Drosophila melanogaster: one gene and its partners. The gene in region 4 interacts genetically with the main gene of each other region. Each region holds a gene or a part of one and is shown on either strand. Other genes may lie near its edges. The genes, in order: H, Scr, Ubx and pb.

Region 1 (9,968 bases), about 14 Mb from region 4:
TCGTTTGCAGAGTCCTGGCCAACCGCTTAACCCTGGACTCCCAGGGACGGCTAATACTGCGCGACAATGGAAAGATTGTCTTGCCCTTTGAGCATTTTGCCAATGCGGTCATGCTAAAGCACATGTCAGGTCCGCACGGCCTGCACCTTAGTGTCGATGCCACGGTGAGGGCAGTCATTGAGTCGTACACCATCGGTCGGGATCAGTTCGGCATGGAGAAAGAGTTCATCATCGAGGTGGTGCAGTCCTGCCCAAGTCCCGCATGTCGCTACTATAAAAACCACATGGGAATTTCGCCCATGCCGTTCATGGAGCAGCAGTATCCGGGCGTAAACACTCCCGAGTTCCTGCAGCGCTTGGCGCATCTGCCGCCTGGGGGAGCAGCCGGATCTGGGCCAGGAGGCTCCGCAGCCGGATCCACCTCCAGCGTGGCAAGCAGCTCGAGTTCGGCGAACGTGGAAATCGATCTGTCCAAGTCGACGGGCGCGAAGGTGCCCCAGGTGCCGGTGCCGCCGCAGTTGCAGCACCTGACCAAGCAGCAGCAGAGCACTCTCCAGACGCAGCTCTCCCAGATCAGTGCTGCCGCCGCTCATCATCAACAACAACAACAGCAGCAACAACAGCAACAGCAGCAGCAGCAGCAACAACAACAGCAAGCAGCAGCCAAGCACCAGCAGCAATTGACTGCTGCCCTCATCCAACAGCAAAACCGTGTCCTCGCCCAGCAAAATTTAGAGAAGCTTAGCAACCACCTCAGTCCGCTGGAAAAGCAGCGAGTTTTCGCCCAGCTGGATCCAAAGCACTTTGATCCCATGGCCGTTGCGGCTGCAGCCGCCAATCTTCAAATCCAAGGCCTGATGCAATCGCAGGCAGTGGCTGCCGCCGTCGCCGCCAATCAGCAGACTCCGGCGGCTACGACTACATCTGCTGCAGGAGGAGCTGCAGCCGGCCCGCAGGCCCATCACGGACACCATCCCTTGCCACCGCCATCGCAGTCGCCACACTCATCCTCTTCGTCTTCCTCTCATTCCTCGTTGGACCAGATTACCCACAAGAACGTCGCCGACTCCTTGCGGTGGGTGAGATTTATTAGATATTATTATTTTAAATTCTTTTTCTTGGCAAAACATGTGTACAAAGACTTATTTTTTTATTAAAACAAACAAAAAATATTGTATGTATTTGATAAGTAACGAATTAGGTTGTTTACAATATTATTTATTATTTGCTATATGTAAAGTAAATTGATCACTTTTAAATGTTTGCTTTAGGCCCTTAATTGAATTCATTTAACTTTTCCGATTTCAGTTCCAATCTGGACTCAATAGAATCGAATAAGGATCTGCTGGCGCTGCACAACGGAGCCTGGGCCACCGGCGATGCCAATCGAATGGATCACTTGGCCGTGGGTCAGGACAAGATAGTGCGCATCTTTGCGGAGCTGATGCGAAACATGTCGCGGATGAAAACCTACATACGTCCCTCGATGTGCAAGCCCTACGGCAAGCAGAGTGAGAGTCTGCAGAAAAGTGAGTACCTTGGCTGGGAACCGGTTTCGCTATCTGCGATGCTGACCGCCTCCTGCTTGCTCGTTCTCTTCCCCGACAGCCCTCATGGACACCATTCAGATCGTGCAGACGCTGCGCAACTGCCTCCCAGCTCCTCACATACCCGTGTCGTCCTGGAAAAGTGAGAGCGAGGGCAACGTGGGATCAGGAGTGAGCGCGGGAGTAGGAGTGGGTGTCCCTGCAGGACTTAACCTGGGCGCCGCCTTGGGTCTGCCATCGGGCAACATGCACTAGATGCGGGCTGGAGCTCATCGGGTAGCATGCAATAGCTCCGGATTTATCCACTCACATTCTTCCAGCAGTTAGAGAACACTTAGTACTTACACGCAGAGAAAAGCATAGATGATAGGCATAGCAATTTACCCTCGTAGGCGTGGCTCCAGTTTTCCTTTTAGCAATTACGTGCCATGTTCAACACAAGACTTGATTTCACATTTTCCACATTTGACTGACCTTTAGGCATACATATGTATCGAATCCCGCGGCTTGAATTTGATTCCCATCACTCTTTGTTTTCCAGTTTGGCATGCAAAATTATGAAGCAAATCGGCAAATTAGTTAAACAATTGGCAAAACGTCTGTGATATTTGAATTATGTTGGCAAACGGAAGACAAAACTAAATTTAATTTATTACGTTGTGTGCCCTCTGTTGTAATGTCTTACTTTTTACTTTGTGCAATATCTACTAAGCATATATTCTTAGCCGTTCTCGTGCAATCGACGACTTTTCGCCCATATCAAAAGCAACTCGAATGTAGCCTATACTTAAACTAACCTACTGATAATCGGACATGATAGACGCGTAAGACTTACATTATATTTTGCATTAGGACTTCAGAGTATCTGAATAACAATTGGCGGATGGCCGCGGTGGCGAAAGCGACATTACGAGTTGTGTTTAAATTTAAGAAGCTGAAGAAGGGTTGTACTCCGCATGCAAGGGCTATTTAAATATATATTTTAACCCGCCCGAGCTCACCATTACCAGAAATTCGATAAACGAGCAAACAGTATTATACGCAATAAAAAGACACCTGCAACCATAAGTATTTACCTAGCTGATGTGTGGGAATTTATCGTAACATACCATATTATCGCTTAATGTTTAACTTCTGGACTTAATAATAAATAAATATTTTATTCTACGACAAAGAAGAACTTTTCAATGTAACATTATTAACTGCTTTAAGTCATATCCTTAAACTTTCGCCTTGAAAATCTTTAAAACCCTACAGGTATTCCAAATTAATAATCTCAGGTGCTAGAAATTTAATTAATATATTTTGGAAACAGCATAAATTAGTGAAAATACAACATTGTTTTAATCAAACATTTTTAAAAGCATGTTTTCGGTTGCAAAGTTTTCCAATTTCAATCCTGAAATTAAAGTTGAGTTGAACAATTGCTATAAAAAGCGACCATTTATTACGTTTTATAAACTGTCCCGATTGTGATTTTAGTTGTTTATTTTATTTCATATTTAAAACCGTTACTATTTTAAAAATCGTTCGCTAAAGATTGTGCTTTTAAGCATTGATAACTATCGCTAATTGCCAGAATTCGTAATCTTATTTGACTTGAATTGTAAAAATATAGGATTTAGGATTTTTACCAAATAGATGTAGTTCAAAGAACACAATTCTTTTTATTATTAAGCATTTTATTTTGGGAGTTCCTTGCACTAGCTTTTTGCAGCGACCTGTGTGTAAGCTTACATTGAGATAACATTAATGTGAACGTGCAGCGAATGCAGCACTATAACATTGGCCAGTGGAAACATGATATTTGCTAGCATGCTGACTGGCGCCGTGGATTTTGACGTTCTTAGTTGACGGTCACACAGCGCACCGAGCTGCGTTTTTCGTTGATAATTTTTAAATTTATTTATTAGTTTATTGGTTGGAAATAGAGCTGCCCCCAACTGCCCGCTGACCACGGAATTATCGGTCCGGTCCACCGACCTCCGCTTTCACACACTATTCGGCAATCGATATATACGCTGACGGTAATTGGAGAACGTTTTTTCCATTTTATCTCCACCTTGTCCGCACTTCGTTTTGTGCTCTCTTTGTGCGCTGCCTCCGCTTAACATTTGGGCCTGTAAGAAACACATATAAGCAGAACGGCCCGCCGTGTGTGCCTGTGAAATTGGTTAAATAACGTACAGTGGAATGGGCCAATGGCCAAAATGCAATAAGAATATGTGTGTGCAATAAAAATAGGGAACGGTACCGTGCCCCAAAACATGAAAATGGTGCTAGACGCTCCTAACGCCGTGCCGAGCTGGCATATTTTGCTTAGCGACGCCGTCGGCTCCGTTTTTCCCGGCCGCGAACTTTGCGCGAGGAATTTACAACAAAAACAATGAATTAAATGGTATTTAAATTGTCCATATAATGCGGTTTGGAAATGCGAAATTGTGCCTAACTTGCCCAATGCAAACGAATGTTTCTCTTTGAAGGCCCTGCTTAATGACGTCACAAGCGTAGCAGAGTGCAACAGACAGACAACAATGACCGATGAGCATAAAAGTAACATTAACAGTAACAGCAGTCACTCCAGCAACAACAACAACAACGGCAGCAGCAGCAATAACGACAACAACAGCAACGACGACGCAGCAAGTAGCAGCAACAGCAAAAACAACAACACCAGCAACGAGAGCAGCCACAGCAACAACAATACTAGTAGCATAATTGCAGAGGCGGCCGCCAAGTTTCTACTGAAAAATGGCCTAAACGGCAGTAGCAGCACCAGCTACCCCCCTCTGCCACCGCCTCTGCCCGCCAACTTAAGCAGGACGACCACGCCCACGACAACGACAACGCCCTCATCCTCCAGCTCCACCGCCTCAAATGGCTTTTTGCCGCATGCCAAGACGCCCAAAAGTAGTAGCATTATGGCTGCGTCCGCCGCAGTGGCAGCCAGCGTCGTTGGAGCTACTGCGTCCAAGCCCACCATCGATGTCCTGGGGGGCGTCCTGGACTACAGTTCCTTGGGCGGAGCTGCAACAGGCTCACTGCCCACCACTGCAGTAGTAGCGGCGGCAGCGGGAACAGCGAAGATCGGCAAGGGAAGCAACTCCGGCGGAAGCTTTGATATGGGCAGGACACCAATATCGACGCACGGCAACAACAGCTGGGGCGGCTACGGTGGTCGTTTGCAGTTCTTTAAAGGTAAGTATCTTGGTTTATTTATACCGAATCAGAGCAGTGTAAAGAAAACCATTTTTTAACTATTCTGCGTAGATGGCAAATTCATATTGGAACTGGCGCGGTCCAAGGATGGCGATAAAAGCGGCTGGGTTTCGGTCACGCGCAAGACCTTCCGCCCTCCATCGGCGGCCACCTCCGCAACTGTGACCCCAACGTCGGCGGTGACCACAGCGTATCCAAAGAACGAGAATTCCACATCGCTGAGCTGTACGTAACACATGGCATAGTAGTTCCCAACGGATTACCCCTTCCATTTAATTACTTGACCCGATTGGAATCAGATTTGAGTAAAAGGAATTGGATTTTGAAACATGTGTAGATAGCTAGCTTAATCCGAGCGGTCAAAGCTTACAAACACTTGCAGTTATAAAAAACATGTGCCTATTTGACTTAAATTGTTCTAATGGCACGTAGAGGATAAAGTCCAATTTCGAAAACAAAAAATCTGTAAAAAACGACCGCACCTATGTTCAAATCTCTGATCTATTTTAAAACTGTATATATCGGCCATCTCTAATATTATATTTAAAATCTACGAAAATGTCAAACGTTTTAATGAAATAGTAAGAAAAAACCAAACTGTTCAGAATCGGTCATGTTCTTTGTATGACAGTTTTCCAATTCGATCCTATAAAATATAATGTCCTCCCATCCTTGTATACATTTAAATCCTATTTCATAAATTGTTAACAATCTGAATCAAACAAAAGCAAATATTTATTTATGCCAAACTATAATTAACTACTACAATTTGTCTATGTATACCTTGCGTTAATATTCCTCTTCATTGCAGTTTCGGACGACAACAGCTCGATACAATCCTCTCCTTGGCAGCGAGACCAGCCCTGGAAACAGTCCCGACCCAGGCGCGGCATATCTAAGGAGCTGTCGCTCTTCTTCCACCGCCCCAGGAACAGTACGCTTGGCCGAGCTGCTCTCCGGACAGCCGCTCGCAAACGACGGCGCCCCCACGAGCCGCTTACCACCAGCGAGGATCAGCAGCCCATTTTTGCGACGGCAATCAAGGCGGAAAATGGAGACGATACTCTTAAAGCAGAAGCTGCAGAGGCCGTTGAAATTGAAAATGTTGCTGTGGCGGACACAACCACAAATGAGATTAAAATTGAAAAACCGGACACGATCAAAGGCGAGGATGATGCTGAACGGCTCGAAAAGGAGCCGAAGAAGGCGGTTAGCGATGATAGCGAGTCAAAAGAAGCATCGCCCGGTCAGCAAGTGGAACCACAACCAAAAGATGAGACTGTTGATGTTGAGATGAAGATGAATACGAGCGAGGATGAGGAACCCATGACAGAGCTGCCCAGAATCACGAATGCCGTAAATGGTGATCTAAACGGCGATCTAAAGGCGAGCATTGGGAAACCAAAATCCAAGCCGAAGCCAAAAGCCAAGCTCAGCAGCATCATTCAGAAACTCATCGATAGCGTACCAGCACGGCTTGAGCAAATGTCGAAGACATCAGCTGTGATCGCATCGACAACGACGTCTTCAGATCGCATTGGTGGCGGTCTAAGTCACGCCTTGACGCACAAAGTAAGTTTTACTTGGCACAACCTGCATAAGCTGCGGTTTCAAATGTTAATCATGTACTGCAACATTTTTATTATGTTAAAGTTGTAAATCTAGTTAGGGACTTTCATAAAGAAAAAACTTTGAATTGACCACTTAAATATCTTCTTTTAGGTTTCTCCACCCTCTTCTGCGACAGCAGCCGGACGACTAGTCGAGTACCACACCCAGCACGTGTCGCCCAGGAAAAGAATCCTGCGCGAGTTCGAAAAGGTGTCGCTAGAGGACAACGGATGCGTAAACAACGGCAGCGGTGGAGCTAGTAGCGGTGGTGCTGGAGGAAAACGGAGTCGAGCAAAGGGAACTTCGACATCGTCTCCGGCTGGCAAGGCGTCACCAATGAACTTGGCGCCACCCCAAGGAAAGCCAAGCCCCAGTCCCGGCTCCAGCTCATCCAGCACTTCGCCAGCGACCTTGTCAACGCAGCCAACGCGGCTCAACAGCTCTTACAGTATCCACTCCCTGCTAGGTGGGAGCAGTGGCAGCGGTAGCTCATCCTTCTCCTCCTCTGGCAAGAAGTGCGGCGATCACCCGGCAGCTATTATCAGCAATGTGCACCATCCACAGCACTCAATGTACCAACCCAGTTCCTCGAGCTATCCACGCGCCCTGCTCACCTCGCCAAAGTCGCCCGATGTGAGTGGCAGCAATGGCGGGGGCGGAAAATCGCCCTCGCATACAGGAACCAAGAAGCGTTCGCCACCGTACTCGGCGGGATCACCCGTAGACTATGGCCACTCCTTCTACAGGGATCCCTATGCGGGAGCAGGTCGTCCTTCCACATCGGGCTCAGCATCGCAGGACCTGTCGCCACCGCGCTCTTCCCCAGCATCGCCAGCCACGACGCCGCGTACTGTGCCCAAAAAGACTGCATCGATCCGACGCGAGTTCGCTTCACCGTCGGCCAGCAGCAGTAGCTGTCCCTCGCCCGGCGACCGGAGTGCATCGCCCCCGGAACGGCGGCACATGCAGCAGCAGCCGCACCTACAGCGTAGCTCGCCGCTGCACTACTATATGTACCCGCCACCGCCCCAGGTGAACGGGAACGGCTCGGCCGGAAGTCCGACCTCGGCGCCGCCCACGTCGAACAGCAGTGCAGCTGCAGTAGCGGCGGCAGCAGCGGCCGCAGCCGCATACATTCCCTCGCCTTCGATATACAACCCGTACATATCCACACTGGCGGCGTTGAGGCACAATCCGCTGTGGATGCACCACTATCAGACAGGAGCGTCGCCCCTGCTGTCGCCACATCCACAACCCGGTGGCTCAGCGGCCGCCGCTGCTGCAGCTGCTGCTGCGAGATTATCGCCCCAATCGGCCTATCACGCGTTCGCGTATAACGGAGTGGGAGCGGCTGTTGCCGCTGCAGCAGCTGCGGCAGCCTTTGGACAACCGGCGCCCAGTCCCCACACGCATCCGCACTTGGCCCATCCGCACCAGCATCCGCACCCGGCTGCACTGACCACCCACCACTCTCCCGCTCACCTGGCCACGCCAAAACTGACTGATAGTAGTACCGACCAAATGTCTGCAACGTCCAGTCATCGCACAGCCTCCACTTCGCCGAGCAGCTCGAGCGCATCGGCCTCCTCCTCGGCGGCCACTTCGGGCGCCAGCTCCTCCGCAATGTTTCATACTAGTAGTCTAAGGAATGAACAAAGTTCAGGTAAGCATTCAATCAGTGCACCAATAATGGCAAGCAGTTTGATGATTCAATTTTCATTCCTCTGGGAATGTCTGAAGAAAATATATTACAGATCCATTTATTATGTTGTCAATTTAATGCACGTAAAACACAATTTAATAACGTTTCTTATTTATTTCTTCCTTAGACTTACCACTGAATCTGTCAAAGCACTGAGACATACACACGCCCCAGCTGCCCCAGTTTCTGGGCCAACCATTCGAGTTAAGAACATTTTCGCACTAGTAGCGCTTAAGACGACATTCAATACACGTAATATAATTTGATAAGTTCGCTGATAGTTTAGTTGTAACCCGATTGTTTAATCCTAAGCCTAATCCTAGGTTCTCAATTAGGGCCGAACATTTAGAAATCGCATACAAAAAGAGATGAAAAACTCAACTTTGTTTTTAAACCCGTTCCAGAACTCTTTATACAATCAGTTGAGAAATTTTATTTTCGACAAACTGAATAAAATATGCAAAGGAATTTTATTCTATGCCGACTAATGGAAAGAAATACTAATAAAAACATTTTCTATAGGATGTATAAAATGCAAGTCTTAAAGAATCTCAAAAAAGAGTTACGTTTTTTTCATCAAAACATTTCCTTGAAACAGACTGAACCTGAATTTTTTTAGAAAAAAAAAATGAAAAACTTAGTTACGAATCGCAAAATATAACATTTTAAAGTATATTTAACAAAACTACAAGAACAGATTTTTATAAAATGCTTGTGCCTTTAAAAATGGAAACAGAACTAGGGATACAAAAATTAATATTAAAAAGAAAAAGAAGTTTACTATAAAAACATTTATGTGCAAGCATGTGCAGGTATTCTATGGTGAAAACTTTAGAATTTCTTGATATCGTGGTCCAAAATGCAGTTGACAGGAATTTGCACTAAGCAGATTGTATACGACACCAACTTTTTAAGTACTTTTAAAAATGTATCTTTTAATTATTTCGGAATAATTATTCTAAAATAGTTAAAAGATAAAAGCAATCCAAAACTATACAACTCGTCTGTACTTCAAAACGAAAGAGATTACTCTTTGGTCTTACATTTTTTGGTAGACTGTAAAAACTAAAATTCGAAAAAATTGTTGAAGTTTGAATTTAAATCCTCGGCGGATCTAAATTTAACCTCCACGATTGTTGTCACCATCAAAAATATTATATAACTGTGCCTAGTGCACATTCGCTGTCAGTGGCTGTCCAATCAAAAACAAATAAAATGTACAAAAAATCCACATATACGACAAATTTACAAGAAACGGAAAGCAAAAAGATCCTAAGCAGACAATTTCAAACCGGAACTCGTACAACTGAAACTGATACAAATAAAAAACATATTCCTAACGCAAAAAGACAAAAACAAAACGCGGTTTCTCATATTTTCTAAATTATTTATATAAATCAAATGTCTATTTATATTTACTGATATGATAATGTGTAAGTAAATAGGTGTAATTGTAAATACAGTATTTTTACACAACAAAAAGTTAATCAATACGCGAGAAATAACCAATATATTTAATATAACTATTTTTATAACGGATTTTAACAAGTAACTGTATATTTTGTATCTGATTACGCAGAATAAAAAACAAAACGAATTCCATATGAGGTCAAGAACAGTTTGCACAAGGCGGCCTGAAACTTGCTTAAAACTTAATGCACTGAACAAAATCCGAACTAAACACATCTGTTCCAGGCAGATACAAAATATTTTCCAATGGAAAAATGGAGTAGATTCATTTATTTTTTACTAATCAATACATAAATCTTTCAGTTCGAAATTTTTAAGCAAGTTGCAGTCGGCTAAACTTTTTAGTAGGCTTTAATGAAAATTAAAAAGAAATATAAATACAATTTTCATACAAATTCCATATGGTTTCTACTACCTAC
Region 2 (6,949 bases), 110 kb from region 4:
TTTGTTTGTCATGGCTCTCATAATTTTTATGAGTTCTCCAATTGTTTTCCCAACTGAAAACCAATCATCGATTCCGATCCTCGCTGCAAGCGGCCATTTGTGGTTCAGCTTGTCATCTCCTCTCCTCTCCACTGCGATAATTTATGATCTTTTGCGCAATGGTCGAGTCGGAATTATCATTTTAAGTAGTCCTGTTTCTGGTCAAGGACATCTCAATTGTGTAATGTATCCTGGTCTTGCCACTGTTTATGGGTAATCCTTGGCCAACTTAATTTGTAGTCATATTTTTGGAGAGCAGTTTTGTCGGACAACTATTAGGATAAATTTAGGTAGAGGGGCGGGTTTTTAAGACAAGTATTAGTTGTATATGCTCGCAGCATTCATGGTTCAATAAATTTCTTTTAATTCTAAACAAATGGCATTCAATATATGCTGTTCCAACCTCTTTTGTATTATTTTGTCTTTCGGTCTTGTATCTTTTCGTTTTGCTACTCTAGCTTTTATTGTAGACTTTTCTATTCCTGTTAGAACGGCCTGCCATTTTTGCGGCCAATAGATCAACGACTCTAGCACAAATTTTCAGCTTGCGTGCTTGCGATTTTGATTTATAAATATGAACGAGTATTGTTGAAATATTTGAGGGGGGCGTCAGGAAGAGCCGGGGTTAGGCCATGATGAATGTCTCCGCCAGGCGCAGGCCAAATAAATTACAGCGCTGCTGAAGACACTCGTAGAACTTTGGACTGGCCCCTACCCTCCAATTAGCCGTATAGACTGCAATTCGGAGTGGAATTGTTACTGGGCCTGCAACTGTCTCAGTGTTGTGCCCATATTATGCAATCGATGCAGCCAGCTCTCCAGCTCTTTGATCTTGGCCCACCCTTGGCGAGATGGGCGAATGAAAGTGACCTACATCAAGTGGAATTTCATCCACTTACGACTAGAGCACATGTGGGATGCCATGCCGGGATGTAGAATACTGCCCAGGAGCATCGCCTTTACTCGGTCATTGGCAAAGTCCCATGAAGTTCCAGCCCAGTGCGTCTTCTTTTATTTTACATAATTTCATGTTCGCCCCATGGCGTCTTGGCCAGCATGAGTTCGAGTTCCCCGGATAGTAGCCAAGCCTATATCGTGGGCATTTCTTCATCCCTATCCCAGCTTGGGCTCGGTATATAACGCTATGTGTCTGGATTAACCTTCTATATGCGGCGCTTGTTAGGCATTTTTCATTCGCTGTGACATTTCGCCTTTGTGCCTCTTAATTATTTCAAAAGCGGCTGCATTTCGCTTTAATGAAGTGAAAATTCCTTGCGTTGATACCGCACACGCAACCTTATGAAAAATTGCTTAAACAGAATACAGAAACAAAGCCCCGATATAGGGAAATATATAAAATGTATTTTCTGGGTTCGGTTACTAGGTATCAAAATATATTTCATTGATTTTTTCAAATTATATTATTTGATATGGAGTGTCTTAAGAAGCAAACAGGGGAAATTATTACGCACCTTTGATGATTTCTTCAAAGAATATTAAATTGATTTATTAAAGAAATTAAAAATTTCTTATTTTTTTTTAACTTACTAGTGTTGGTATTATTTCTTCAATAAGAAAGTCAAAGTACAAGATAAAGATTGTAAGATTAAAAATAAAATTTAAGGTGGTAGAAATATTGTTACTTAAAAAAATATGTACATACGAACAAAGCACTTTTTTATTGTAAATATTATTTGATAAATAAAATCGCATCAAATTGTTAAGAAAAAACTATAATTAAATTGCTTTAGACCAAATATTGCTACATAAGTTCTTAACACATCAAAAAAAAAAACACTAGAAAATACAAAACAAAAACTGACAACGAATAAATATCCTTTCCATGACTGTTTTCACCTGTTCCAAAGCGCTTAAAATATTTTCAGCCGTTAAACTCGTTTACTCACAATTTTAGTTAGCCGACGGCGTTCACCTCCGTTCAAGTGAGTTTGTTTTCTGATTTTCACTGCACTGAACCACGATTTTCACTTGTGCTGAGTGCGGAAATCAACGTGCACAATTACGAAGGTAGAATTGTCACAACCAGCCGGATATCTGGGAAATTAATCCGATGGCATCCTGAGGGCAAACTGGCTAGACTTTTGCGTCCTACCTGCAGGCTTATGTTTTGGATGGTTCTAATGGGTAATTGGCCGCAAAGGGCTAAGCGACGGATTTGGACGGCTTTTGGTATCACAAACACACAAGCACACGCGCAATTTGTTACAGATCACGATAAGTATATGCGCTATGACGGAGTATCTAAGTATCTGCGCGAATTTCACGCCGAATTTATGACTGTCCATCAGCGCCAGCATCGATGCAAGCACTTTGCAGTCCATCCATCTTTCGCTAAAATCGAACAGTATTCGAGGGTCTTTACACGCGGAACAGCTGAGTGTTGGATTGTTTGAGTTTTTTTATTTGTGCTTTTTTTTCTGTTATTCCGGTGTATCCGCGGATACGTGCTCGAAGCGCCAATGTCTCACTTTGACTGCTCGGGCATAATTCAAATTTCTGAGCATCAATAAAAAACACAGATACGCCAGCGCTCTGGCTCACTCATACTGCTCCATTTCCCCCGTCCAATTGTATCTGCGAGTACGAGCAAGTAAGGCTATATGGCTATACAGCTACATATCGTCGTCCAAGTGCAGTGTTCATTATTCGAAAAGTGTGCGAGAGAGACAACGGGCATTGCGCCGCTCCGCCATCTCGCTCGCTCTCAGGCATGTGCTGAAACTACCTTTGCGGACGCGAAGAACGTTTCGAATCAACCGCCAAACCAGAAATTCGTTCCCACAAATTGTATCTCACGGATACGAATACGACACATCGGTGTGTGTGTGTGTGAGTTCGAAAGAGCGGTAGTTCGAAAAGCACCGCTCTCGCGTGTTTCGAACAAGTTCTTATTGAGAGAGATCGTTACTCGGTAGTTCGAAAATCATGTTTCGAACTGCGACTAAAGTCTTATTGTTCTCACCGACACTGTCCGTGTGAGATCGATTTCGGGGGACCAAATCATAAACATTCGAACTCCGTACTTTGGGCTAGTTGGGATAAAATCAAGACTCTGGGACTCATTTTGGGAGTTTGGAGAAGTAAAATCTGTCTCTGAAGATTTAATATATATTTTTAATGTTGTTCATATATTTTTTTTTAGTTAAGTGTGCAGTTAGTTTATATAACATTTGGAGGTATTGCAAAGAAGTAAAGTAATTGGATTTCTGAACTTGCTAAAATAATATATATTTATAAAAAATATATATATATATATTATATTGATTTTTTACAATTGACACCTTTTTTGTATTCTACAATATTTATTGTTTGTTAAATTGACTCTAAAATATTCAATCCTCCACACCACAGTGCAGTTTTAATTCAGAATGATTTGAGTGGAAAAGTTTAGAAAGGTTAAAAGGAACCATTTAACGATATATCGATGGTTTCATTTAAACCTTTAAGGGCAAAACTTTCTTAAATTTTCTTCTTACATTCAGAGTTTAGTTTTTCTACGTTTGTTATTTTCTTACCTTTATGTGGACGATTTGGGGAAATCCAATCAGACGCTACGAACAAGTCGTTGTAATTCAATTAGTTTTCTTAGCCAGCACTTCACTGTATACTTTTTATTTTCGTATTAATTGTATTTGCCTTTTGCACTGCACTTTGCTATCTTAGTTATTTGCGAAGATGAGCAGTTTGAGAAATTATTTGAGGTGGGTAGGTAATTCCGCTCCTATGTAAAGGAGTTAGTCGGTAAAGTATCCGCTATGGGGAGACCATGGCACCTTGCCGTCGCCAAAGAGCTTTCCATGGAATCGCAAGACTGGCTTTCAAGCGGAAACTTCGCGGATTGCTACGCGTACGAATACGAGAACGTGTATCTGTATCTTTTTATGTTTGCAGAAGACCGAGCGCGCTGCTTGGCGACTGAAGTGCGCCACGTTCAATTCACGTTTGAGCCATAAAAACCGACAAAACGACCCTCTCGTGCGTTGCCTTGTGTGCGTTTCGAACACTGTAAATCATTTGAGGACCCGGCCAACGAGTGCGAGAGAGAGGACGGACAGTGCGCATTTTCGAAAATCCTGCTGTCCCACTTGCACCCACGGCAGACTCCGCCCCCAGTCTTGATTTATGCGACGAGGGTGCCACGGCAACCGGCCTATGGCGCTCCAGCTTTTCCCTCGATTTGGGGAAAAGCGCGCTCTCGAGAAAAGCGAGAAATACGAGAAAAGCGAGAAAAAACAGGTAGTTGGCAGCCACTCCAGGACACATCTGCCCCCGGTTCACGCTCCAGATTAGGCCGAAATCATCCTAGATTAGGCGTCTCCCCCACTTTATTTGTATTCAATCGTGGCACTGTTCCGCTAAATCACCGCCACATTATTATTTCGCATTATTATTTTATAAACGTTCCGCTCCGCGTTCATTTCCATTTTTATTGGCCTGGCAAAATGCAAAGTCTCCTGCTGAAGCTTAAGTTATTCCTCCTTTAAAACGAGCTCGTTGGCAGTTGTCTCTGAATTTAAATTTATCGGTCTGTTTCGGGGCTGCGGATCGGGTTCTCTTTGGGCCGTAGCCAAGTTCAAGTTCTCATGATTCATTCAGCATCGGGGCTTAACGATTTTGATTTGTTTGGCTAAATGCCTTAATTAAAAGTCGATTTCATATTTGCTACCAACAATCCAGCATCGCATTCAGAGCTGAACACACATATGGTTTGATTTTGGCGTCATTTGAATTTGAATTCAATTGATTAGTTTGTCTCGGAGATTTAAATGTTGATTAGCTATTTTTTATCATAAAAATGAGTTGCTGGTTAAGACACACCCAAAATCGATTTTGAATGAGATTATTTTTTTTATTTTTATTTTTGGAATCTAACGTTTATGTTGCGAAACCACAAACATATACCAAATACAGATAAATGGCATAGGTCATTCGTAATATATTGCAAAAGCAAAAGTTTGTTTTAATAAGTATTTATAGTGAGTGTCTTAAAAATTATCTTATTTAAAAACGTATAAACTTAATACGTTTATTTGATACGAACTTGTAATAAAAGTGTTTTTTTAAGTGGTACTGAACGGTTACTTTCGAAACCCGAAACGCGAAATCAGCAATTCTTTCGAAAATATGTTTATTAAAATATAAATAAATTTTGTAAGTACGTATTTCGGAATTTATAGCTTAAGTTTATGTACCAATTCGATTTGTTCTTCTTATAGAAGTCGTATTTTTTGCCATATGTTTTCCGCTGTGTTTTTGAAACACACATGTCAGCTCTTTATGGTTGGCCCGCATCATCCACAAACCATATAAAAGTATAGAAAAAAACAAATGATGGAAAATAAATGAAAAACTAAAAAAAAAAAATCATAAGAGAGACGCCTGCGTGTACTTCTGTAATTGGAGTTGATGTTGGCGATGCCAGCGGGCAGCCAGCGCCAGACTCTCGTATCCCAATCCATAGCATAGCATAGCATCCTCTCGGATCCCATTCCATTCTAGATCCATGGAGGGTCCCCAGCAGCATCCAACATGTTGCAGGCGATTTTTCATCATCGCTTGCATGTTGCCTCCGATTGTAAATGTTGCCCCTCGCACACACACGCTCAATTTTTAATATGAAACAATCAGCAGCGTTTGTATTTTGTTTTTAGTTAAAGAAAACAGCGCGTAACGCGAAGTTGGAATTTTTGAATTAAATCTGGACATAGAAAAAACACAAAGAAAAACTTTGTAACTTATGTAACGCACTTATGGTAACTTTTATAATACAATGTAACATATTTATAACTAATTTTAAATTTACTTTTCCAAACATTAAACTGTTTATTTAAACAAATTTTTTTTTCTTTTCCATACACAATTACTGAATTTTATTACTATTTGGGGCTTTATATTTGAATAGCAAGAGAGGTTAAAATTAATGTTAGTATGATTTTGTCTCAGTGCATCAACGAAACTGCAACAGCAACAGTTTCCAATTAAACGATCCAAGAAAAATGAATACCCCTCCCCGAACCAAACTCACGACAATTCGTTAATACCTTGCCATTTGAGTTCTTCACGCATCCGTAATGGAAATGGGGGTTCTTGAAATTGGTTGTAGGATGGGTAGTCCATGTCTACGAGTAGTTGATAAATACCCCCAATTTGGGGGCAAACACAAGTCGGTGTTAGTCGGGATATAAGCTGTATCTGGAGCGGAGCAAACTCCTACAGAACCAACTGCAGTTGGCGATGCATTGAGAGATGCATTTACATTAAAGGCCAATTTAAATTAATTTCCTCTCTCTGCTTTTTGGCAGCTACCAGTTTTCAGTTTTCAGTCCTCAGTCCGTAGAGCCCCTGTGTCAGTGTCAGTCCATTCACATTTGATTATGACAAACGTTGCTCAGCTGTCAGGCGAGCTACTTAGTTGAACAAGATGGCTGGCCAAGTTGGTCAGGGGTGGGGGAGGACTTCTTGGTCTTGAGACTGGGTAAGCGGTTCTGCGGAGAAGGGCCTTGGAGGTCATTAGGAGGAGACAACAGCTGAGCTTAAGCGATGAACCAGGGCAGGAGGCACTGGTGTACACGAAAGGAGCAGTAAGGCACGAGTTATGACTATGTGATCTTTACGGGCATATTTTAAAATGTGTTATGTAGCTTTTATTTTATGCGTGCCATTTTACTTTAATTAGCTTTAAATGGAACTACAATATATATAAATATTTACCACCTGATTCATTCATATGTCAAGTGTATTTAAAACTATTAACTTCAACTTTGTTAAAGTGTTTCAAGTGTTTGGGCTTTTGCAAGACTGTATGAGAATATATCATGAGTTCACTATATTATTTAAACTGTAATTTACTACATAATGTTACATTCACTCGTGTATATATCATGTACAT
Region 3 (6,547 bases), about 10 Mb from region 4:
TTTGTTTCTGATCTTGCTGAATTTTGCATTCTGCGCTCCGCGAAAAAAATGATTAAAAGCGCGCGTTGAAAGGTTTTCCTGTGTGCGTTCGCTTGCACTTCGCCATTTACATAATCAGCGGCATCATCGACGCACTTCCCCTGGCAATTAATTGCATGTTGCAACGGCAACTGTTGCCCGACATTTGAACTGCACAATTTTGGTGTGTCTCCTGCAGCCCACAGCCCATTAACCTTGCATGGATATGACGTGCCCTCCTCGGCCCTACGTGTTCCATACAATTGCAGGTAGTTGTGTAAGTGTATATGCTGGAATACCAGGCATCCTGATAATTACGTCACAGCGTGAGAGTTCTTTCCTCGGTAACTGCGGCAAATATGAATTATGATTGCACCGAAACGTGTCAATTGACCATCCGCCCAGCTATTCTCAAGGTCATTGTGGGACAAAAAAAAGTAACAAGCCGCAACAAAATCTATTTATGAGTTCGAACTGTGCTTACACTGGGAAAAACTTGAATCAGTATTGAATTCTTCATAAAATCACATTAATAAATTAGCATGCGACTTTATTACACAATGTATGGATTTAATTTTTTCTATTCAAAAGAGAGACTATGAATGATGTTTAAGTTCATAAGTGATATGTAAGTTCAAAATATTTGGCTTTGCTTCGCCAAAATCACACATTGCACATGTTTTTTAATAAATTAAATATATTTGTTGAATTTGTTAAATACAGCTGAAATGATTTTCCCTGTAATTTTTCCCTATAATTTTCTTCCTGTGCCACGTTCGAAATTAGGCGACCGACAAATTTCGGACAGCCGCAGAACTCGGCCATAAACCACTTCGCCGACGTGAACCTCACACACCGGCCCGGGCAAATAAAGCAAATTTACGAATTTATGTTGAAATTTATCGATAATGACTTAAAAGCCTTCAGGACAATGATTTAATGCCCTCCGCCCGCCGCTCGCCGTGTTCGCACATACAACAAAACAGCGGCCCAAGAACAACATAGCAACGCCAACTGCGACTCCAAAGGCCAGAAAACTCTGATGTGGGTTTTTCAAATGTGAAGCCATGTTTAGATACGATAAAATTGAATTTGGTTTGCATTTGGGGCCTCGGATCAGCGGCAAATGATCGATGATCGCTGGAAGTGTGCGCCGATTTATTTATGACTTGATTTTCCGTTGCGATCATCAGATTTAATCAGTTCGCTCAGAGCAAGTCGCTTAAAATTAAATTATATTCGCATTATATGTTTTGGAGTAAATCAAATCGGCGATAACAGTGACAAATGGCAATAATGCGGATCTAGCGGATTAGAGATAAGGCCATATACATATATATTTATATATTTTGAATTCCAGGTCTCAAGTTCGAAAAATTCATTCAGTCTGAATATCGTAACTGCCAGATCGTCTCGTTTTCTTATAAGAAAAAAAATTTAAGATGAAATGTTCAGGTAAACGTGTCCGATCATCTTCAGGTAAGAATGCATTTGAATTTCTTAGAGGGAATGTTCCACTAAAGATGTTATATCTCGCAGAGATTGTCTGACACACTGGAAGTGTTATACAAGACACCCTGTATGAAGGGTTTTCGGCAATGGTGTTTCTTTGGTCTTGGCCTGGCCAATTCATCACCGACACTTCAGACTGGTCAGGCTCGGCGCATAAATTTCATTACCCTGATCATCTTGCAGAACGGATCGATCCGATGGAAAACCTGTCGCAAGGCTCTCGAATTTAGTTCAACTTTAATTGTTTTTTAACCAGCTCTTCGCGTTGGCTATAAGTGAAATTTGATTGATTTTTGAAGGGTATTTTGCAAGCTCCCTTTTATACACAGACAAAAAATATTAGCGGATAATACAAATAATTTTTTGAGTCTTTCGAACAATTAAAAAAAAAGTAATAATTTGTAAGTTAACAATTTATTTAATTTGAAAATAATAACTTGTAAGCCCTCTATTTTCCCTATTTCTTTAGTGCCAGCTTGAGTGCAGTTTACGTTCGATCTTCGAGCACCTAGACCTCCTTCGGCTGACCTACTCTTGGCTTTGTTCTTGGCCCAAACGGCAATCTCGGCCCAGACGCAAGCCGTTCGCCTCGCTCGGCTGGTGACTGAAACCCGTGGAAAAGTCGAGCGGTGAGGGGCTGAACGTAATTACATAATGGCGTAGTTAACCGTAATAAGCGCGACTTCTGCGCGCAGTGTGTGTCCTGAAAGGATTCTTGCCCTTTCTCGCCGACTCCTGTGGCTGCCTTTGCTGCCTTTTGCTATTTCTTGACTTCTCCGTTGCTATTTTGCAGCTCTTTTTAAGCCGCATGCCATAACTCACGCTGCTCGTTGCCGCTCTCTTGTTGCACAAATTGCAGCTCACTTGGGCTGCCAGCGCTGCAACAATTACCGCCGAGCATCATTAAAAGCAAAGGTGACAAAAATTAGTAAACAAAGTGTTGAAAATTATGAGGCAGACGTAGCGCTGCAAGGTGTCGCGGAGCGGAGCAGGTGAAATCGAAGGGTCTGAGCTGGTTTTTTTTATTTTTTTATTTTAGCTACTCATGGCTCTTCACTCGATTTAATCACTCTAAGCGAGATCACAGCCATAAAATCTCGCTTAGAGTGATTAAATCGCTGAAATTGGCGGCCAGCGAATAAACTATGGCCACGCAAATGGGTGCCTTTAAATAGAATTATTGGAAAATAATTTTGAGTTAGCCAAGGGGGTTTTTGCCTTTTTAACACTTAATAAATCTAAAATACTTGTCCTAATTTTTTTCCTCTGAAGAATATAATTTTACTATTTTTTATTAAAATTTTTAATTTTTTTACCAAGTATTATCACATCTTTTTTTCTAAACTTTTCAGCCAATTTGAATATACACAATATTAACTAGGACTGTTTTTTGGCTTCCTATAACCATAATACATTCTTAGTTTTTGTTTTTTTTAAATCGCTTAAAGTTTTTGATTGCCAATAAGGTGTTGTGTCTTTTCCCTAAGAACCTGCCATAAAAAGGTCTGTTCTGCCTGCTTTCATATGTCTTACATTACAAGTTGTTATCTGTTTTTCCCATGATCGATTCGAGCTCTTCATTATATTGCCTTACATGTTGACTTGTCTGTTAATTGGAGCAGAGACGGCAATTAATCACAGGATGACTTTTGTTGCCATAGCTGCAATCTGTTGAGCTTGATAACAACTGGGAAAACAACAAAGCTTTGGCACTGCAGGGATGAGGACAGAAGGGATGGGATTTCGGGGGACTTTCAGTGGACTTGTGCTGCAGTGGACACTCACTTTTGGTCGGATCTTCAGGACACTCACCTGCGATAGCCATCCAGGGGTAGAATGTGTGATTGCTGGCCTGGTGTAAACTGCTGGCGGCCGCCGTTTGGGCAGCGGCGCCCGAGATGGTGCAATTGGCATTCCAGGCAGTGCCCGCTCCGGCCACGCCCACGCCGCTCTGTACGCCTCCGGCGTTGCCGTTGCCGCCGCTGACACTCACATTACCGCCGGCACTGCCGCCGCGATGGCTAACGGGACTGCCGCCCGACGTGTCCAAATAGCCGCCCACTCGGGAATCTGGGGTGCAGGCGGAGGGTCTAACGGGCATACCGCCCGCCGGATTGTTCTGTCCGTTTGCATTGGCCGCATTACCGCCATTGGCATTGCCGGCTCCACCTGTTCCGCCCGCTCCGCCGCCACCACCGCCTCCGCCGCCACCCCCGCCGCCATTCGAGCCGCCCGTGTTCCAAATGTCTTTGTAGCCATTCACCGCATCCGCCTTGATGTTCAGGCAGTCCTGTTTGTAGGCTCCGGCTCCATCGCCGTATATCTTGTTGCAGGCGGCCGTGATGCTGGCATCGTAGGGCGAGTCCTGGGTGGTGCGCTGCAGATGGTGGTTGGCATAGGGACTCATGCCCAGCGAGAGAGGGAATCCTCTGTACGCGGCCGCCGCTGCACTGGCCGTCTGGTCGTGGTGGCCACCGCTGCCCATTGCCATTCCGGTGGCCTGGTGCGGATGGCCATAAAAGCCGGAGGCCTGTTCAAAGTACGAGTTCATTGCGCTGCTGGCGGTAAGAATCTTGGCGGTGCTCCGTCTGAGACGGGCTAAAAGTCGTTGGGGGCTTGACCGATTTCACACGAATTGGTTTCCAGGGATCTGCGATTTTTGGCGGATTTTATTTGAGTGTTTCCTCGCTTTCTGTGCTGTTCCTTTGCCTCCTTTGGATTTAAACAAATTTTGTTAAACTCTTTTTAAAATTTATTTTATATTTTCACTCCAAGTCTTTGTTGATTAAGTTTGGTTTTATATAGTTAAATATGTCTTATTATTTGTAAAATATTCTTGAAATTTTTTCTCCTTTGTTTTAGCACCAATTTGAATTTTCTTTGTTTCAGAGTAACCAATTTGTTTTTCACTTATTTAAATATTTATAAAATATTTTTCTGTTTGGTAAATATTTATTTCAAAAGTTATTCTTTTTATTGCACTCTCCACGCGGGTCGTTTTAAATTTATTTAAGCACTAATGTTTATTGAGACTTCAATCTTAATAATCTTTAAATTTTTTTCCACAATTGTTTGTACGGTTTCACAAGTGTTTCGTATACTTTGTTGCGTTTTGGTTTCGGTTTTTAGCCAATTGCACTTTGCTGTTAATTGAATTCGAATTTGAATACTTGGATTGCGCTTGCCTTGGCACTATCAAAGGCTCGTAAGCGTTACGATTATTACTATGTTTATTGTTATTGCAATTATTATTATTATTTTTATGGTTTTAACGATTTGAACGATTATTAGCCATAGTGCTGACCGAACGGGCGCGAATGCGTCTGCTGACGGATTTCCTCGAATCTGGACGCCAATCTAGTGGAAAGCGACTTTTCCGCGCGGCATTCACGGGCGGACGCGTGGGCGAGCGGTAAAGCGCTGAGGGCCAATAATAACAATAATGCCGCTGATAATGTGGATAATAAAACAAAGCGCGCGCCTGTTATCCAATCCGTTGCCATCGAACGAATGTGGCACCAAATCGCAGTTGCCAGTGTTTTGACTTTGCTCTGCCGACTCAACTCACTCGACTCGGCCTAAAAACGAGTGGAAAACAGAAACAGAGAGCCAGCGAAACGCTCAAAACCAGATTGTTTTTGAGCGCTCTTGCGCTCTCTCTTGAGTGTTCGTTCAGTTTAAGTTTATCGGGGTGGGCGCCTCTCGTTCATTCATTCGCGAGGAAGGAAAATGCGCTCGCCGCGGGAAATTCATCATGGAGGAGGGCTGATTTTCCTTCAACTGAGTGGCGAAAAACGCTCGACGGGCTGCCCGCCAGTTGCCAGTTGCACGCCAAACGATGCGCATCCCGTATTTGCTCGGTTTTAGCGCACTTATGACTACAGTTTCAGTTCCCAATCTTTGTGCTAGAATATGGCTTACGCAAATTATTTGTATCTAATTCTATTCAGTTTAAGCTGGTCATTATTTAATTGTTCAATATTTTGGGGAATAATTTGCACACAACGAAGTGCAAAAAAGTTTTTGTTTTAAAAAATATATTTATTAGAATAGTCGGAATATTGTAATTATTAATTTAATTTCTATGGAAGTAAATATCGTATAAATTGTTTCACAATTTAGAAAAATATTAGTAAATTAATCGTTTTTACCTTTACCTCAAAAACTATAAGCTTAATTCAATGTGGTATGGCATAAAAAGATACTTATCACTTAAAGGCTTTATTAGGCCTTTAAAAACGAATTATAATATATTAATGAAGACATTATTTTTTATTTATTAAAAGTCTCGTGTTTAGCATTAGTTTATTGATAATAAGTCAACCCCAACTCGGCATTGTACGGTAATAGAAGCCAGGGATCCGGAAAATTTGTGTGCTGCGGTTTTCCTTTTCCTATTCAAATTCAAATTCGCATTCGAATCCAAATGTTCAATCCGTTCGCCAATACTTTCAATGGGATATTAATGTCAATGTAAATATGGTGGGAATTGATGCTAATAAATTCATATGCATAATGCAAATAGATCGGGGTCTTGCAGACCGAGAACGCCGCGCCATTCGCGAAAGTTTCGCAAATATTTGTCAAAGTTTCCACATTCGCACAAACGGCTCGTAGATTAAGCCAGAAACCGACGGCGACCAAACAAAGTTGCTTGCCACAAGTGTTTGCAAAATAAACTTATTATAAGAAGAAATTTACTTTTCTACTTTTCCAACCCCTGCTCGCGCCATTTTCCGCCGACCAAATTTTCGGTGCCAAGTCTTAAAAATCAACAACAAGCGAAAGATACAAAAACTTGCACAAAACACAGATACGCACCACCACATACACACACACACACACACACTGACAAACACTTGAATCACATTCGGAGACGCGGCGACATTTTCTAAATATGCGACCAAAAGCCCAAGGAAAAGCGAAGCCAAAAGGCGAGAAGACCCAGAGCAAAGCAAAAGTAAAGTAAAAATCGCAGTCGCAACTGCAAACTAAATATCGTGAGTCGGGAATCCAG
Region 4 (6,600 bases):
TTCACTTAGTGATAGTTTTTTTTTTTCATTAATGCCCTAATAAGTTTATTGCTGGGCTGGGAGGTCGTTGCGGTGCAGCCGGCTTTGACTGCATACTCGGATTAGTTTTCTTGCGAGGGGATTTGTATGGGTGGTCAGCTTTTCGTTATACTTCGCTTTTTTCTCAGCTATTACTTCGATTACTAATTTGATTTTTAGGTCTCTGTGTATGTTTTCGTTCCGAAGGTACCACGGCGCTCCAGTGATAATTCTCAGAATTCTTGACTGTGCTCGCTGAATAATGTCTATGTTACTTCTGGATGCGTTGCCCCACAGCTCGGAGCCATAAGTCCAGATAGGTTTTAAGACGGAGTTGTATAGAAGAGCTTTGAACTCCAGACTAAGTGGAGAGCGAGCATTTATGAGCCAGTGGAGGTTCCTTGCTTTAAGTTTAAGATGTTTCGATTTGGCTTCTATATGTTTGCGCCAAGTGAGCCGCCTGTCCAGATGAACTCCCAGATATGTTACCTCGTCGGCTTGTGGAATGCATATGTTATTCAAGACCAGTGGTGGGCATGTTTGTTTGTTTAAGGTAAAGGTAACCTGCTTGCATTTTTGAACATTTATTGAAATTCTCCAGTCGGCAAGCCATCGTTCTACAGATGTTAAGTGTCGGGATAGGAGTGCCGTGGCTTTTATTGGGCATTTCGAGCGACTGAGTATCGCGGTATCATCAGCGAACGTGGAGGTTGTTAGATTGTAGTCTATGGGGAAATCCGCCGTATACAGGGTGTATAAGATTGGACCCAGTACACTGCCTTGCGGCACTCCAGCTTCGATTGCGCAATCGCGTGAAGTGCTTGTATCGCATCTTATTGCAAACACTCTGTTATATAGGTATGACTTCAGTAGCTTATGTGTGTTTTGGGGCAACAGCTTGATTATTTTAAACAAAAGTCCATCGAGCCACACTCTGTCAAATGCCTGCGCGACGTCTAGAAAAATGGCTGTGCAGTATTCTCGATGTTCAAAAGCAGTACGAATTTCTGACGTGATTCGGTTGACCTGTTCGATGGTTCCATGTTTTTCTCTAAAGCCAAATTGATGTGTTGGAAGTGTGTTGTTTATTCTAAGATGAGGGCTAATCCGAAGGAGTAGCATTTTTTCAAACAGCTTTGAAAGACATGTTAGTAAGCTTATCGGTCTATATGATGATGGCTGCGTTTTATCTTTTCCTGGCTTTGGAATCATTACTATGGTCGACTTTTTCCATTTTTGAGGGAAGTATCCAAGCTTGGCGATTGCGTTGAACAACAGGCAGATGTGAAGAATAGCACACTTTGGGAGTTCAATGAGCATTCTTGGAGTTATTAGGTCGTAGCCAGGCGATTTTCTTGGGTTCAGTTGCTCTTTGATAACCTTTGCTAGTTCACATGGTCGGAATTCAAAGGGTTCTTGAGGATCTAGATTGGCTGCTATTAAAGGAGGGAGAATAAATGTGTTGGTAGAGGGATTTGGTCGGAATACATTTTGTAAATGGTCAGCGAAAGCACTGGCTCTTTCTTCATCACTTCGAAACCAGGTGCCAGAGGGACTTCGTAGTGGCATAATTGGCGCTATTGGAGTCTTTAGGTTTCTGTGAGCTCGTGATTAATGAGAGTTTCGCATTTCACCAGCCAGTACACGGCAAGAAAAAATGGCCGGGACAAGAGAACCCAATTGATTCCGGTCTAAACTGATATGGAAAAGTGTCTATAAAAATATCTTACTTTTTATTTGATTGATTCAATAGTTTGAGATGGACTGATGAGATTATCGCCTATTCTTCAGAGAATGGTGTTCAAATTGACATGGTCGATCGCTAAATTAAAAACCTTATGCTTCCCCCAGTGTAATGTGCATGTGGACTTACCCTGATTGTTGTTGTTGCTGCTCTTGCGGGATGTCTTCTTCTCCTTCATCCAGGGATACTCCGGCACCGAGTCCATTCCATCCGGCGTTTGAGGGACAACGCCAACCGGATATCCGACTCCGACGCCGACATTGACATTAACGTTGACGCCTACTCCGCCAATGGCGCCGGATCCAACAGGTGTTCCGATTTTGGGACTCTCCGGACTCAAGTGGTTGAGGAATTCAGCCATCGACGGCTGCGAATTGATGAACCCGCCCTCGGATGCTGTCATCCAATAGGCCGTGTCCGCGCTCCGTTTATCACAGTTCGGGGTCATCTTGTTGACCATGAGCACCGACGGCACAGGTGGCACCCCCTGCTGTCCGATACCAGGCTGACCAACACTCACTCCCACGCCACCCACACCACCCACGACGCCCGCACCACCGCAACCACCCACTGGCAGGGACGTCTGTCCAGTTTGCACCTGCAGCGGGTTGAGTGGAGATTCCGATTTGATTTGGGTGCCCATTGAGGTCGTGTCCAAGGAGCTGCAGACTTCTTGCATAGCTTGGGTATAATTTTTTTTAGATTCTTTCTATTTCAATTCCTGAGCGTATTAGATGTTCCTCAGCTTGGGAACCTGGAAAGGAAAGCCATTTTTGTAATCTCATAATAATGTTATCACGATTCAGTTCCCAGGAAGTTAGAGGTTTCACTGTTCTTATCGAATGTGAAATTGAATAATGTATGTATATACTTCATTAAGATATGTTATCATTATCTTCATTAACCTTTTAAGAAACAAAGACATCGTCACTTTACTATGCTATTCAATGTTTATTTTATTATTATATTTATAATTTTTGAATTTTTATTTATATATTTTGAATATATATAATTTCAATATAATGTACGTATATACTTCATTAAGATATGTCATTATCTTCATTAACATTTTAAGAAACAAAAACATCGTCACTTTACTATGCTAATCAATGTTTATTTTATTATTACCGATCCAATTTTTCACATTGCAACTGTCAAAAACTTGACTATTTTTAAATTACATATTCCAATTTATATTTCATTAGTCTCTCAGTTTTCTGTGCCAGAAATTCATTTGTAGTCTGCATTTTTACTATTGCTCTTATAGAAATTGTTAGGCCTTCACTTTAAATTTATGGCCACCTAATTTCGATTGAGATTTGACAATATGTATTGTATGTATGTACAATACATACAACCTGTCCTACAATGTTACCTAAATTGGCTTGGTTCGCATACATTATTTTACATTATTTTTTTAAGGATTAATAGTCAGTAAATAAATTAACATATTTTAAACAGAAAAAGTTATAAAGCTGTTACATATCCTCATCTAAGAAATGCCGCATAGCTAATTTCCTAGGAAGTATAAATGAATAAGAAAATTCGAATATATTTTCCGATTCCGCCAATTAAAGATTTGAAATATTTCTTGCAGTAAACATTTTGCCGACTTAAAAGGCTCGTATTTTAGACTAACATGTTGTATCAAAAACGAAATAACGACACGCTTTGATTTTCTCGTGCTTTAAAAGGATACACTTATTTTTAAATGTAGGTAAGAAATATGTGTAAGATAATTTCGTACCATATTAAGTTGATCATTTACAGACCACAGTATTCCATATTTCTCCTCTTACGTTGACATATGCGTTCTTTGTGGAAATTTCACCGGTATCACTTGGGTCACCGTTTTCACTATTGTCTGCACTCGCTCATAGTAACTGGCTTAACTTTTTGTTTGTTTTTTTTTTTTAGTTTCAACCGGCACAACTTTTGCGATGCGGGTTTTGCGTAAAACTTCAGTGTGTCAGGGCTTATCTGTGGGCCGCGAAAAGAGGCGACAACCGCGACGAGAGCGAGGGAACCCAGATCCGAATGTAAATATGGCCACCGTTGTGTTTGCTCAACCGTCAAGTGGTGTTTGGAGTTGGTTTTTCGCTTTCAGGTTGACATAGACACACACCTTTTGGCAGCCATGGCGACGCGAAAGGCCAACACAACCGACGAAACAACGGCGATAACGACAATAGTGCAAGTACGCGCTGTACAACGGTGCGTATGCGGAATGTGTTGATTTTGTAGAGTTTTGTAGAGTCGCTGCGATCGCTGCAATGGCCACACACAGACACACACTCAGTCGTTGCAATTCGTCTGAGATAGTTTTCTCCACTCGCACTCATACACATGTGGGCACTAGCTGTCCCTCTCTGGCCTTCAAGAGGTGCGCAGAACCGGGTTTCCAGGGGTTCCTAAAGTGCTTCTCAACCGTATAGTAAAACTTTTGGTTTCAACTCGTTTTAATAATATCACTTTTTAGTTTTCAAAATTTTTGAACTATTTTTGTAGCTGTCATTTTAATAAATATTATTTTTTAGATACCGAACCGATTCGTAGCGAGAGCGAGACAGAGGGCTTTTGGGGAGCTTCGTGCGGTTCCCGAGAGCTAGATAGCAGCCAACAACCATTCCATCCAATAGCACCGAACGCACTGAACTGGGATTTTGGGACCCAGTATCAAGGAGTGGCCTAAGCGACAGCCACCGCATCCATCACGCTTTTTCCTGGTCGGCACATGCGCGGTGCCATCTGGAAACTGGTTACTATAGCCATTACGCGCAGAGACCAGGGGGTGGAGTTCACACACACCGGCGCACAAGTCTCCGGCCCTCTGATTGGCCGGCTCGGCAGTTTGTTTTGTATCTTTGCGGTCGTGTAGCTCGGGAACCCCTGTATCTTGGGCCATCATTTCCGCGGCGTTTTCTTGCCTCATTCACTTTTTTCCACTTCCAACGCGAACGTGTTGCTTGTGACGGAATTTATTTGGTTTTTCTTATTTACACATTTCGCATCTGCTAAAAAATGAAAAGAAAAAGCCACAGTAGCGAGTTTCTCGCTCTCCGGCTTTTTTGGCTTTCGGCTATGGGTATTTTTGACATTTTGCTTCGCTCATCGCTCTTTTTGTTTTGGGCGCCTCTTCTCCTGTCAATCTTGGTGGCATTGCTTTTTGCCTTTTGGCCGCTTTTTCGCCCTCTTTTTGCTAACGTTCTCCAATCCAGTCCGCGCAGAGTTTGTAATTATGTGCGGATTTTAATGCACACGGGTGTCACTACAGGTGTAAAAATATTGCCACGATTTTGCACTGCAGCTGGGGGTGGTGTTCGTACTTGGACGCTCTGACGAACAAGTTGTCTGACAGCAGGGAGCTATGTGATCGGCAGTCTACGTAATGACGATGCGCACCATGAGATTGTTTAAAATTGTGAAAAAGATATATGTGTGAAAAATACAGAAACTTTGAGGAAGCATTAAGTAAAATAAAAAGCCAAGGCCATTCATTATAAATATCATATAAATAAATGTTTTAACAAGTCAAGCTTATTTAGTTTCTCAACTGTATCGCCCACTAAAATGGAATTTTGTCTAAAAATATTTGATTTGTCTGGTGGTGAAATTTTTGAAAATCGAGTCCGCAAAATGTATCCCCAAATGCTGCACAACCAGCATTTTTTGTTTGAACAAATAAATGCGCACATTAATTATAAAACATATTTTATTTCATCCAAAATAAGTAATAATAATGTAGTCACAGAAAGATATTGCTCGTATAATACAATGATTATATATGTATGTATGTACAGTTGCCTAAACATATAGTCAAAGATATATTTAAAAGTTCAACAAATTTTGAATAAAGTCATAGTCAACATCCAAAATATCCGACGATGAAGCAGAAGAGCTATTCGAGTCCCAGCAGAAATTCTGTATCATTGGCTGATCCTGTGTATTGTGTTCAATTACATTTTCTGCGATAGGAATCGTTGGCTCAAGGCCCAGCCATGAACTCGCCCAGTTAGCATCGAATTCATTGAAGGGCAGTTGGGGAAGAGCCATGGGCTCAGGAGAAAATTCATGGAGGTAATCGTAGCTCTGATAGGGTGGTGTAATTTGACCCTCCTCCAGGACACCGTGATCAACCTGCCGGAGTGGAGCTGTTTCCACATTTGTGTTGGCATATCGAAGGAGACGCTCTACGATCTGGTCGTCCTTTTGAAGATCTTCGCTCGACTGGGAAGAAAGTGGAATAGATGTGGTCAGCGCTCCAATGGCACCCTTCCTATTGGTCGACTTCTTGAGTTTCATGCGACGATTTTGGAACCAGATCTTAACCTGTCTCTCTGTGAGTGCCAAACGCTGTGATATCTCGATTCGCCTGGTTCGGGCTAAATATTTGTTGAGATGGAACTCCCTTTCTAGTTCGATTAGCTGAAGACTGCTGAATGCCGTGCGAGATCTCTTTGATTTCTCCGAAGACCTTGTTGTTGCCGTGGGAGCGGCTTCTACGTTTAACTCGACGCAAGGATACATCTATAAATATATAGATCAATTAAATCTTAGTTTTTATTTAAATAAGCAGTAATTTTTTAAATCCCACCATTAAATCACTGACTGAGTAATTGTCCACAAAATAGTTTTCGCTTTGAATGGCAAACATTTTTCTTGAAGAGCGCGATTTGTTGGCTTCTGACCGCTGTGGCCGATGTTTTTTAACTAGATACCTTTAGATTCTCCTTATTTGCTTATATACCCCAGAAGCCCTTCGTGACGGATCGGATTGGTTCCTACCTGTCCCGCCTGCGACACTTTCAAATTCCCAGACGGCTGGTCTGGGCTGGTAG

What was found.
Region 1: of pb (region 4) and H, changing one enhances a phenotype caused by changing the other (phenotypic enhancement), as found in Drosophila melanogaster (one study listed by BioGRID).
Region 2: of pb (region 4) and Scr, changing one suppresses a phenotype caused by changing the other (phenotypic suppression), as found in Drosophila melanogaster (3 studies listed by BioGRID).
Region 3: of pb (region 4) and Ubx, changing one suppresses a phenotype caused by changing the other (phenotypic suppression), as found in Drosophila melanogaster (one study listed by BioGRID).

What each region holds. Positions count from the first base shown.
Region 1 is NT_033777.3:20,618,554-20,628,521, forward strand, and holds the start of H (hairless), read left to right. Parts: upstream 1-3,384; 5' UTR 3,385-3,942; coding exon 3,943-3,945; exon of another isoform or gene 3,946-4,030; coding exon 4,031-4,745; intron 4,746-4,817; coding exon 4,818-4,991; intron 4,992-5,577; coding exon 5,578-6,338; intron 6,339-6,488; coding exon 6,489-8,040; intron 8,041-8,206; coding exon 8,207-8,235; 3' UTR 8,236-9,968. Other genes in the region: CG5466 (uncharacterized protein), read left to right, coding at 11-1,075, 1,309-1,529, 1,609-1,802. UniProt on the Drosophila melanogaster protein: Is a potent antagonist of neurogenic gene activity during sensory organ development. The expression of distinct cell fates by the trichogen (shaft) / tormogen (socket) sister cell pair depends on the level of H activity.
Region 2 is NT_033777.3:6,845,970-6,852,918, forward strand, and holds the start of Scr (Sex combs reduced), read right to left. Parts: upstream 4,013-6,949; 5' UTR 3,576-4,012; intron 2,537-3,575; exon of another isoform or gene 1,947-2,536; intron 1-1,946. UniProt on the Drosophila melanogaster protein: Sequence-specific transcription factor which is part of a developmental regulatory system that provides cells with specific positional identities on the anterior-posterior axis.
Region 3 is NT_033777.3:16,729,383-16,735,929, forward strand, and holds the start of Ubx (ultrabithorax), read right to left. Parts: upstream 5,045-6,547; 5' UTR 4,082-5,044; coding exon 3,316-4,081; intron 578-3,315; exon of another isoform or gene 1-577. UniProt on the Drosophila melanogaster protein: Sequence-specific transcription factor which is part of a developmental regulatory system that provides cells with specific positional identities on the anterior-posterior axis. Binds the consensus region 5'-TTAAT[GT][GA]-3'.
Region 4 is NT_033777.3:6,737,659-6,744,258, forward strand, and holds the start of pb (proboscipedia), read right to left. Parts: upstream 4,406-6,600; 5' UTR 3,510-4,405; intron 2,517-3,509; 5' UTR 2,442-2,516; coding exon 1,892-2,441; intron 1-1,891. Other genes in the region: zen2 (zerknullt-related), read right to left, coding at 5,591-6,289, 6,357-6,416. UniProt on the Drosophila melanogaster protein: Sequence-specific transcription factor which is part of a developmental regulatory system that provides cells with specific positional identities on the anterior-posterior axis. Controls development of mouthparts, and labial and maxillary palps.